Drosophila melanogaster: one gene and its partner. The protein of the gene in region 2 interacts with the protein of the main gene of each other region in a pairwise test. Each region holds a gene or a part of one and is shown on either strand. Other genes may lie near its edges.

Evidence for each region. The genes of interacting proteins can lie anywhere in the genome.
Region 1: the proteins of Mst89B (region 2) and BomBc3 interact in a two-hybrid assay, tested with the Drosophila melanogaster proteins (one large-scale study listed by BioGRID).

Annotation. Positions count from the first base shown.
Region 1 is NT_033777.3:22,084,512-22,089,001, reverse strand, and holds BomBc3 (bomanin bicipital 3), read right to left. Parts: upstream 1,820-4,490; 5' UTR 1,800-1,819; coding exon 1,742-1,799; intron 1,685-1,741; coding exon 1,643-1,684; intron 1,574-1,642; coding exon 1,377-1,573; 3' UTR 501-1,376; downstream 1-500. Other genes in the region: BomT3 (bomanin tailed 3), read left to right, coding at 2,679-2,769, 3,137-3,399.
Region 2 is NT_033777.3:16,265,412-16,273,442, reverse strand, and holds Mst89B (Mst89B), read right to left. Parts: upstream 6,432-8,031; 5' UTR 6,348-6,431; coding exon 6,281-6,347; intron 6,221-6,280; coding exon 6,006-6,220; intron 5,931-6,005; coding exon 5,103-5,930; 3' UTR 5,010-5,102; downstream 1-5,009. Other genes in the region: Mat89Ba (maternal transcript 89Ba), read left to right, coding at 1,109-1,147, 1,204-2,582, 2,636-2,746, 2,803-4,043, 4,103-4,506, 4,573-4,980; asun (asunder), read right to left, coding at 6,897-7,089, 7,150-7,455, 7,520-8,031.

The DNA.
Region 1 (4,490 bases), 5.8 Mb from region 2:
CCACCCTGTTCTGGACTAGGACTGAGTTCCTCAGCTTCATGGGGCTTCTAAAGTTGCGTGTAAACAATTTGTGACCCAAAAAGATAGGAAACGACACATTTCTGCCAATAAAGTGTATTAAAAGTAAATCAGAGAAAGTGTATCGAAACCCTTTACGATTGGTATGGTTATGCCACCCAAATGTTCATTGAATTTTAAGCCAGTCGAGCGTTTTTCTGAATTTAGCACATCCGCAAGGGCAGTCCATTGATTTCAATGCATTGTATTTTTTTTTAATTGCAAATAAAGCTTAGGTTTTTATTCTTGGATGTCCGGGAATCAATACTATTCTCTTAAGTTATACGCTTAAATCAAAATTGTATGATTGTTAAGTAATCCTTTTACAATTTTAATTGTTTTCGCATGCTAAGCCTGAATGAAACTTTTCCCTTCTTATTCTGTATATAAAAACACAGCATCAGTTTTATTCGAAACTTCTGCACAAAATATTCTTGGGAAGTGTGTGTGTGTGTGTGTGTGTGTGTATGCACTAAGTGTTTACTGTTTGTCGAGTAGTTAGTTTCAAAGCAAATATTTGAGAGGCTTCTGTTTGCCGTTCCTGCAGTAGCATTACGTATACGCCACGTGGCACGCGCAACCTTAAGCACCCTTACATCAGGCCAGCGTTTTCATTGACAACACATCCACTGGCGTAAATTGCACGGTTGGTTACTCGCATTTGATTATCGATGCTGTGCAATACTCTGGAGACAGCGACGTCAGCTCCCAGCCCAGTTTATGTGGCAACTAGCTGAAGTTCAAACAATCGATGCCATTGGCAGCACGAATTTCTCTATTTTTCCGTCACAAAATCCGTGGGTCTTCCCTTATTTGCAGACTGTTTTGAAACCAAGGCTTTTGAAAATGTAACGCTTTTGTATCACTTATTTTTGAGAAGGATGAGAGAAGCCAATGTTCACAAACAGACAGCTCGCAGTGCACGCAATGAGGTACTGGAAATCGTTAAAAAAAATTCTTATTTTAAATGTGAAAAATTTGATTTTCAGGACTGAATATTTCGACCAAAAGCAATTATAACATTCTTCACGCTTTTTTCGCAGCATAAAATAACTCGGATGTTTCATGTTTCTCCACGTGTACTTCGTGGTAACAAAAACTGAATATAAAACGCTCATTTTTCCATTTTTTGCCTCCATCAGATGATGCCCTCTGCACTCGAAACCATCACATTCATCGAATTTGCAGAGAGACTGGGTTGAACGATTGTCAATGCTTTTAGCTAAATGATGTTGTACATAGCCAAGTGTAAGTATGAAATGGATTGATCGATATGTGCGCAATTTTAATTCAATATTCAGACTTTATTGTTTAAGCCTTTAATAGGGATCCACGTTGCAGTGCTGACATCTGCCATTGACGATGGTATTACCACCCCTCCGGTAAATGGTGCCACCTCCACCGCCACTACCGTCATTTCCACGGGAAATGACCACATTACCATCGCCAGGGGATGAGGAGAAGCTGCGGTACTGCTGGCCATCCAGGTAGACGGGTTCACCATTCGGATTGGGACCTTTTCGAGTGCATATTATTATTCATTAAGTTGTCCAATTGCCTAGCTGGCAAAACAATCGCAACTTACAAGTCAGACAGACGCCATTCACCACCACTGTGCTGGGATGAGCTGGAAATAATTTCAGTGTGTATCAATTAGCGTCAGCAGCAATCCCGTCCAGCTTACCGCCGATCAGAGTCGGAATTAAAGCCAACGGGAGCAGCACACACGTCAGGTACTTCATATTAAAGCCGATAGATAGATGACCGTATCGACTCTCACGCTACTTATATAGTCCGGCACTTGATTCGATCCGAATCAAAATCGATTTGCATAAGCCTAAGCGTTTGGAGCTTTCGATTTGTATTTGAACAATATATTTAAATTAATTTCACACTAGAACACTATCAAATCGCAATTCGATGGGGTTTTCCGCACACGGTTTTGTGGCATCAGGTCGACGTAGTTGATTTCCTTGAACTTCTTCAAAGAAACTTATGACAGTCACGCCCCGAAAAGTCGGTTTACAATTATTCCCAGACGTAAACATGAATGGCAAGCGATTCCAGAGAATCGCACACCATTAAATTTTATCCATACATCTAAGGAAAACTGGTTACAGAACCGAAAGTCGTGACTCGTGAGTGAAATGTAGAAGCTTTAGTTCTAAAGCTAACAATTTATATTTAAATAATAAGATACTTAATACAATGAAAAAGCAAAAAATATATTTGAAAACAAATACATTTCATTAAAAATAAATCTTTGCAACTTTGTAGAAATGAAAAGTGTCTGACTTATTATAGATTTTACAGATTTTGTGTATTTGTTATGTTAAAAAGGTAACGTAGAGTATCTTGAATGCAATACGACTGACCAACTGATGCGCTACAGATTGTTTTTGAAACCCATCCGCGGGCAATTCCCTGAGATTAATACTTAATACATACGTAGTGGTTTGTTTGCACAGCAATAGTTCTTTGCAGCGATAAGGTCTGTTTGGGTTTGAATTCGAATTCAAATTCAGTATCGGAATCGGAATCGATGAGTGCATCGTATATAAGCTGCTGTTGCGGTTCGTACCTGGTCCAGACCAGTTCGACGTTCTAATAGACCAGCCACAATGAGAACCTTGACGGCATTTGCGATTATCGCTTTTTTTGCACTGGCTCTAACGGAGGCGGCTGTTTACATCGGTGGCGGTTGCTACGACTGTAAGTCAATGCCTATTAATTTGGGCCATTTATTCAAAAATTGTTCAACGATTTTCGTCGCTGCCACATCAGGCATAGTTTAAAAGGAAATTTTGTGTTTTCATTAGCGAAAGTTTGAATGAACAATCAATTTGTTATTATATTATGGTATTTCTTGGCAACGAAAGTCATTAAGTGATTATTAACGATACTCTAAACATTTGTTATTGGTTAAGTTTATGAATAATATAATTCCGAACACTTAGCTTTAAGCTTTTAATTTCTATAGCGCATAGTACATTTGCTGGCTTGCGTAAAAAATGCAGTAGCTAGCGCGCAATTAAGTAACTACTACTCCTCAAGAAACTGATTTAAATATCACTATTAGGTAATCCACCCGGAGGCCAAGGACCTGGAGTCTACACAGGTGGCAACGGAGGACGAGGAGGAGGAGGTGGATACAACGCAGGCGGAGGCGGTGGAGGATACTACAACGGCGGCGGAGGTGGAGGAGGTGGCCGTCGTCCAGTATATTCGGGCAACTTTGGACCCGGCTATGGTAACGGCGGAGGAGGAGGTGGAGGAGGCTACGGAGGCGGCGGTGGAGGTGGCTACGATGATGGCGGTCTTACGCAGATTATAAGCGGCTGAGATTATAATCTCGAAGCTTTGCTAGCGCTAAGCGCGAAGAGCAAGCATCGTCTGAAACTTAGATTATATAGACTTAAATAAAAAAAATATATATTTTATCAGCGGTGACTACTTTTATATACTTACAGAATGAGCTTTTGTTAGGTTTTGTTAAAGGTTAAAAACAAGTCCCTCTGTTAAAGTAAAACTAGTGAATAAACTTATCAAATACTCAGCTAACGCTACTAATAAATGGCATGCCACCTATAGCTTCTAAAAATAATATCCTTAATTCCTGTGCATTTTATAATTGGTATTCATTGTAATTCAGTTCAGACACGTATAAATGAGTAGCAACTGTTCAAGAGTGATGATTAATATACCCTTAAAGCCATAAAACCGACTGTGCTGTTCGGTTGAAGGAGTCAAAGTCCTGCAAAGGAAATAATTCATAAGCTCTTCAAAGTTTCAGCCATCCTGCTTGTCAGTCTTAATTAAAGGACTTGCCCTGGCTAAATATGCAAGGGCATCGAATTTCCAAAAAGTTGAACCAAAAGAACCGCTCGGTGAATCCACAAGCACTTAATTGATACAATTACAAGTTCGATTTTTGTTCGTTCGGCGAGCTTTTGGTGAGCTAAGCTGAAGCAAATGAACCGGAATCAAATTAAGGGTCATTAAGTATAATTATCGGTATCATAGCATGCATTTTGTTAAACAGTTTTCAAGGACTTCCTTTCTTTAAGTTGGTTCTTTTGCATTTAAGAAAAGGTTGCGTGCACGCTTAAAAATAGTACATTTCGTGGATATATGTTTAGTTAAGACTCTTGCAGCACATGTATAATTACACATTCGAAACGAAAATAACCATTTCAAAGTAGATACGCTTAAAGATTACTTTATTTATAGCCTGTGCAATCAGTAGTTTTAGAATGAGTAGTTTTAGTAGTAGTAGTAGTTTTAGAAGTAGAATGCGCACATCGAAAATCTTCAGTGTCAGTAAAGTAGCTTCGGGTTTTCAGTGGAAGAAGTAGCACATTGGGCTTAGATTAATTTTCTAAGAAAATCATGCTTTTATTAAATATATACCCATTAAACATTGATATTAGTAT
Region 2 (8,031 bases):
TCAATGGGCCTCCTTTCTGCCAACGCATCATTTTATAAGGTTTGCTTTGATCTTTACGGAATGAACGACTTGTGGGCTTTATTAATTAGGCAACTTTTAACTGCCGATTTACCTTTTATACAGTTTTGCACGCATTTTCATTACGCCTCATTTTTCACCCATACACTCTCACACGCACGCACGCACGCACAGACACAGTTACACACGTTCGGACCGAATATTGAAATTTGCAACTCGATTTGCTACTGTGCGCTCGTCGATTTCTGGATAACAACTTAGTTCACTACTTTTTATAAATTAAGCTGGGCTTGTGTTTAACTGATTTTCTACGAAACAATCCTCGAAAGACCAAAAAACGCACGCAAGAGAGCACGAGAAAAATGGTGCGATTTTTTCCCCTGCCTGCAAACACACACACACACGCTTATACATGGACAGAGACGGAGTAAGACCGTATAGAAAAACGAGGGAAATACTCTAGGCTGATTTAATGCTGATTACTGGTAAAAGAAAAATGGGATAATTTAATTAGCTTTTCCCGTTTATTTTAAACAGATACTTATATACTTGTGCTAAAGACAGAACTTACCTAAAGCCCTCTTTACATAAAAGATGTTTAAACATAATTATGAAATAAAAATACTGTTTAAAATACTGTTGCTGGCGAAACCAATTAGCCGGTAAATTTGTTTATCTACTCTTTAAAACTGTATAGGCCCACGGTAATATCTTTCGCGTTTAACTGATAATTTGTTTTTATAATATTATAAATTTTATCTTATTTATTGGTCCTGGATCCAAGGATTTCTCGGCAATTGGTATAGACATTTACACTTCACATTGTCTAAATTTGTAACTTATTCAACAACTGTGTACCATGCAATATATTTTGCTCTAATTTATTTAGTGTATAAAACCTTTTCAATATTTTAATTATAATTACGTTCGACACTGTTTTTGCGGCTGATTTGGGACTAAAAAACGAATCTGCCCAGTTCTAGGGTGACCATACAAAAACCTCTAATGAAATACCGAATTCTGAAATACCGCATCTGCAACACGTGCGAGTTTAGCTCTCTCTCCAACAAGTAAATAAATTTTATATTATATGCGATTTGTACAGGGAAACATCATGCCAGGAAAGTTGGTAAGATTGTCTAGATCTTTATGGAAACTATTTGGCCTATAACATACTTTGTTTAGGTGGGCTCTCCGAAGGGAGCTGCTCGAACAGGTACCCAAGCAATTGCACATGCCGGGGATCACAGCGACCTTGATGAACCAAAACCCAAAATCGCCAAGAGCGACCCACCATCCACTGCCATACCAAAGAAGAACAACTTCAAGCAGAGAGAAGGTACCAAGAATGTAAAGCCGCCCACTTTGGAGGAGATGAAGGAGCTACGAGACACCCAAAATCTCTTCCACTCCAATCTCTTTAAGCTTCAAGTTAAGGAAATGCTGGAGGAGCTGCAGTTAAAGCAGAAATACACAGATTTCATTGAAAACTGGCTTGAATCCTTTACGGCCTTTACCCGACAGCTAAAGGATGGCTTGATGGAGCGTACCCACTTGGAAGTTCCAATGAAGCTTTCTGAAAAGCCGACCGGATTTGTTTTCTCCAAGCCCACCAGGGAACCTTATCTGATCGGAGCCGCCGCCACGGGCACTTTGCTGGGTCCCAAAATTGTAGTGGATGTGGCCCTGGAGATGCCAAAAGAATCCCTGCACAAAGAAGATTACCTAAACCTTCGCTATGACCAGAAGCGAGCTTTGTATCTTACTTATGTGACGGAGAGGATGATGGAGTCCCCAGATTATGCAGAAGATCAGTTTAATTTCAACTACTATGCTAACAACCCGCTTAAGCCGGTTCTGGAATTGATCCCAGTTACTAAGCAAGTAAACAAGCACCTGCAAGTGCGTCTGTTCATCACTGCCCCATTAAGCAGTTTTAAGCCAGGCAGATTTGTTCCCTGGAACAACAATATTCGGCCCTCGTTTTACGGTGACGAATGGGACGAGAAAGATCCGCTGCCCTCCACCCAACACTACAACGCAAACGTACTGTTTGATCTAACTTTGTCCGAGAACCAGGCTCAATTGGATAAGGCCTTTAAGAGCAGGCGTAATTTTCAGGACGGCCTGCTGCTCCTTAAAGTATGGTTGCGTCAGAGGCAACTGGACATAGGTTACAGTGGGTTTGGTGCCCACATCTTAGCCGCTTTTATTGTGTACCTAAATACGCAGCGCATTCTGCATCAGTCAAGCAGCAGTTACCAAGTGGCACGCACTGTATGGAACCAACTGGCGAACACGGACTGGACGAAAGGCATTAGCCTGTCTGTTGCTCCCATTCAAACGGAAGAATTAAACAAGTTTGCCGAACACTATGACGTTTGCTTTATAGACTTCACTGGACAGCATAATCTATGCGCAAATATTCCGCTTTACCTGTATCAGAGAGTTCGAGAGGAGGCCAAACTGGCGGTGGAACTACTGAACGACATGAAGCTAAACAGTTTCCCGCTTATCTTTATGCAAAAGTGTCCACTGTACAGCAGGGTGGATAATATCTTAAAGTATGTGAAGCTAAAATGTTAGTTTTTCAATTATAAACTTTATTTTTCCCCAGGATTTCCAATTATTCATGCATAAATCAAATGCTTACACTGCATTCGCATCCTCGAATTAAGTACGATTTTGCTAATTATGGTTACCCGCAGCTGCTACATTTACTGACTGAGTGAGTTAACTAAGCTAAACAGGCAACTTACAAAGAAATAATAATCATAACTTTAGGCTCCTTAAAAAGGGACTTGCTGAACGTGTCCACTCCATACTACCCTTAGAAACTGCGACAGCCGCCTGGCCTGTGGAAAAAAAAGCGCCCGTTATTGGGAAGTATATTCAACTGGGCCTTATACTTCAGCCAGAGCACGCATACCAGGTGTTAAACAAAGGACCTGCTGCCAACGATGATCATGAGGGAGCTGAGGAATTCCGACGGTTCTGGGGAGAGAAATCAAACCTACGTCGGTTTCAGGATGGCAGCATCACAGAAGCTGTGGTTTGGGGGACCGCCCAGGATTCACCCGCCAAGAAGCGACTAATTGTTCGCCAGATTGTGCTGCATCTATTGGAGCATCACCTACAACTGGACAGCAAGGAAGTACAATACATTGGCGGCGAGTTGGACCAAGTCTACCAGCTGTCTCCTTGGTTTAAGGTCAATAAGCTAAAGACCAAGCTGCCATTGGGTCAAGATACCGACGCAGAGGCACTTAGTCCGCACGTCATCCGCTGCTATGATGAGTTGGCACGCCAACTACACGGGCTGAATGATCTTCCTCTAGAGATAGTCTCCATATCAGGCGTCTCGCCCATTTTCCGCTACTGCGAGCCGCAGCCCGTTCTCCCACAGGCGCTTCTGGTAGAAAACCGCATCCTGGCAAGCAGCATTCAGCGTGTGGTAATCCAGCTCGGGCAAAGCGGCAAGTGGCCCACTGAACTTGGTGCACTGCGTGCTCTTAAAACTGCATTTCTTATCGAAATTGGCGAAAAGTTGGAAGCGCAGTGCCGGCTTCATTGGGTGATGTCCGCCGACGGTCTGCTCGTACTCAAGCAAGGTTACTGCTTCCTTATAGAGCTGGCACACAACAAGGAGCTGGCGCTGCTGAAGCAGGAAGTTACTGAGCGTGGCATAACTACATATATAGACAATGCAGCCAGTCGTTCCTTAGAGCGTCAACATTATATTCTACCCAAAGTAAGTGGGGCTCTACATTCGCTTCATCAAACTTACAGCGCATTTGGTTCCACTGTGCTGTTGGCCAAGCGCTGGCTGGCCACACAACTGCTGGACGATGGCTTGTGGCCTGATATGGCTACTGAGCTACTGGTGGCGCATCTCTTTCAGCAGCGGTATGCACCGCAGTCCATAGCGGCACCTCAAACTGGATTCATACGTTTCCTGCAGCTGCTTTCCCATAGCGATTTTAATGGCGAACTCTTCCTGCTAAACTTCAACAATAGCTGGCAGGGTAAGTTCTTTGTTACCACTCCATAATGTTATAAAATAATTCAACTTTACGTTCTCAAGAACAACAAATTGCCGATCTGGAGCACAACTACCGCAGCAACCGTCAAAGTTATCCTCCTTTGGCTGTGGCCACCTCTTACGATATGCAGCATGCCGGACGATTGTGGACCTCGGATCAGTCACCCAGTCAACGGGTGCTTGGACATGTGACGCGACTGGCCCGCCATGCGCTCGAGATTATTGAAACCAGCCTGATGTCGAAAGATCTGAGGTTTGTGCGGCCGGCCCAATTATTTCGAGCTTCCAACGAGGGATACGATCTGGTTATCCAATTTAAGCCAGATCTCGTGCCGAATTCCTTAAGCTACGATCTGGGGTCACCATTTGTTTCATTTAGCCAGCCAAACTTTAGCTTGCCCCGCGCAGGATCAGATTACATTGCTCGAATTGTGGGACTACTAAGAGTAAGATGTTATAAAGCAGCCAGCTTTGTATTTGAAAATTCTCATTTCCCTTCTTTTTTCCGCTAGTCTGCATACTCCGACTTTGCTGCGTTCTTTTACAATCCGCACGGAGGCAAGGAACTGGGCATTGTATGGCGGCCACCAACGGAATTCGCTGCAAAGCCATTTAAGGTCACAGAGCTGCAGGCATGCAGTCCTTGTGGTAATAAAAAGGTTCAAGTTCTCAAGGAAACACTGCTCGAGGACTTCAAACTCTTACTGAAAGATTTCTACCTGCGCATCGCCACACCAGAGGAGCTCAAACGGGAACAGCGCGAGCATCAGAAGCCCATGCGGTACTTTGATGCCAACAAGGCAGAGGAGGAGTCGAAGCCAAAGCCGAAAAAGCATAGGCAACGCAAGGGCACCGGGAAAAAAGCACTACCCAAAAGGAAACGCCTAATAAAAAGCTCAACCCTTAAGGTCTTGAAATAGTTATAGAAATATGTAGCTAAACCGTTACTAAGTTAAAAAAATAGCTTTAATTTTGGTTTAAAAAAAAATGGCATATAGCAGCATAAGAAATCGCGAAAAACGGTGATATAAAAACTATAGCATTACTGATGTTTACTTATGGACGCGTTTTGACTGAGCTCCTGCTGAAGTATTTCGTGATCAGGATTGAGATTCGTCCAACCCGTATGTTTGGAGACTGATGGCTTGGAGACTTGAGCTCGCGGATAGGGATTTTGGCCCAACGGTATCGTTCTATAGAAATGAGGTTCCACATGAGGTTCAAAGTTATTAACCTGGGTGCAGAGATCAAAGCGGATATGTCTAGATGTGCAAGGCTGCTCCTGTGGTGGTACGGGCGACTGAACTTGAGGTTGCATTGGTACTATCAACGTCTGATCCGTGCAGGTCGGTTGTGACTTACAGTGCTGACAGGTGCTTTCCACCGATGAAGTGTAATCACATTCAGCTGATGTGTAAGACTCTGCTGAGGTCGTTTCAAATAGGTCGCTATATGTACCGCACCCGGTGGAGTTTGTGTTGCGCTGAGCCTGGCATCTCGAGTTAGCGGGCTCGTTCTTCATATAGGTATTTTCACTGAGACAGCTCTGAGTTTGGCAACCCACATTCTGTGGAGCCTTCACAATAGAAGTTCTAGTTGGGGTGGCGGTGTCCTTCGTTTGGCAACTCGCATTCCGAGGCATCTCGCGCTCCACAGTTGTCTGCGTTTTGGCAAACATTTGAGTTTGACAGCTCGAGTGCTGCGTCTCGCACTTGGGGCAGTGCTGGCATCCAGTGTTTGTCATCAACCCGGATGTCGAGGTGCCGGCATCGTAGCAAAGTGGTAAACGGTGTTCAGATCCCGACTTTTTCTTTGACCAAACCAATTGAGTAGACACACTTGCAACTGTCTTCAGCGGGTTCGAGGTTTCCTGTAGAAAAAGACATGTATCATTGGTCGACTTTGCAGGGTTCACATCCTCTTCGATGTCCATTCGCATACAGACCCTTTTGTCAGAAGCATTGCGGAGAAGATCATCCAAAGTGCAGAAGTGCGTGGTGTTTGGCGGGGGGAAATAAACCGCACCTGGCGAAGAAGTATCCAAGGGAAGAAACTGCCCGTTGGGTCCTACACGACTGTAGCTTATCACTCGCGTGTCTTCCACACGACGAATGTCCTGCTGGGTGAGCACAATAATCTCATTGCCAACCATTATGGGAACTTACCGAAGAAAAGTTAGTCAATACTCTGCATATTACAATAATCAATATCGATGCTCACTGTGAACAGGTGGTGCCCCCTCCTCCGCTACCTGCATCACTTTTCTCGTGTTAAAATTGTTCGCCATTGCCAAAGATTACACAAATTTTGGAAAATATTATCAAATTCGATCTGAGAATTTAGCGTTTGAATACAATTTTTTCTATAAAACACCAAAGGAGAAAACGATATTTTGATTGGCCACAAATTTGACAATTTGACAATTTCGAAATTTTAAATTCAATAGTTAAATCCGTTTAATAAATAAACGAATTTTATTTATAATTATATTCTGGGTACTTTTCGTTTTTATTACCGTGCCAAAGATCACAATCACAAGTTAAAAAAAACTCATTGGCCCATGTTTATATTTTCTTAAGTTAAACAAACAGTTTGAATCATAAACTAATCCAATTTGAGGCAGCTTAAATAGAGGAATTATAATGTCGTCTTCCACAGTAATGTTGTCCCAGTCTTAAAGAAGCGATTATACGAAACTCAGAAAAATACTTCATTTTACATTCAAATTAATTCCTATTAAGCCGTACACTAAGCATTGTTTAAGGAAATGATTATGTTTCTTTTATATATATATATACTACAGTCCCAGCTTAAATTCGGCGTTCTCCGTGCCATTTTAACTACGTACGGATTCCTCCTTAACATTGGGCGTAATACTGGCCCCCGTCGTAACTGTGTCTTTGTCCTTGGTACCAAAATCCGGATACAGCTTGGCCACTTGACCCAACGGAGTGCAAAGGCGTCCCGAGAAATCCAATCGTTTGTTGGACTGGCTTCGCTCTGCTGAGGATATAATATCTAGCAGGGATCTGGGGACAAATATTGCGCGAATTAAGGACTCTATCAAGAAATACATACATACGACATACCTTTGCCCACAACTAGACATGCGACGCTTGCTCGCCTTGAGAAGGCTATTGGAGCTGCTGCTGCCACTAGCACCGACGCTACTGATGGGCTCCAGCCGTTCGGGAGAGAGTGGGGATTCCGTGTAGGTGCGCAGGAGACTTGCTCCAGGTTCCGACTTCAGCGGGGCATCGCCGTATGCGGCTCGCAAACTCTGTAGGCTTTCCAGCAGATTTTTATGGTGCATTGTGGTGGCATTTAGTTGAATTAATTGCTCCAGTTCCCTGTACAGCAAGCGGTACTGGTCTTTGGCCTTGGAAAGCTTTAGTCTGAAATGAGTTAATTAAATATAAAAAATTGAAAATATATAAAAGATATCTATAAATTGCTTACCTTGCTCCATTGGTGTGGGTAAATGGTAGGACATCGCCACGCGAGGCGCTTTTGTACAGCTCGTGAATGTGCTGCTGGCACCGCACCTCGTCCTGCTTATCCATGTCTTCCTTCACTAAAAGATGGAGAAAATGCGGAAGCCAACTGATGTGTCGCTGTAGATGGAACAGAATCGAAGAGCTGGTGGTCAGGGGGAAGTAGCGAGGCAACCGGCGCGTCAAGGGCGGAGCAGATGGATCCTTAACCTTGAGCGGAACCACGCGCGACATCTTGATCAGTTGACCAAGTTCGGCGGTGCGATAGTCCGAGACACGTCCTCCGGGGCCATCAGTAATTGATGGAGCCTCATCCATGCAGGAGCGCGTGATGCACAGGGAGTGCACAAAGATCTCGCCACCGCGTGCAGAAAGCATATGGCTGGTGGCCTTTGAGCCGGTCTTGCGCGGCATTTCCAGCAAGACTGAACGTCCGTTAAGCAGAAAGTTAATCAAGCAAGAACTGGGCCGCGAGGT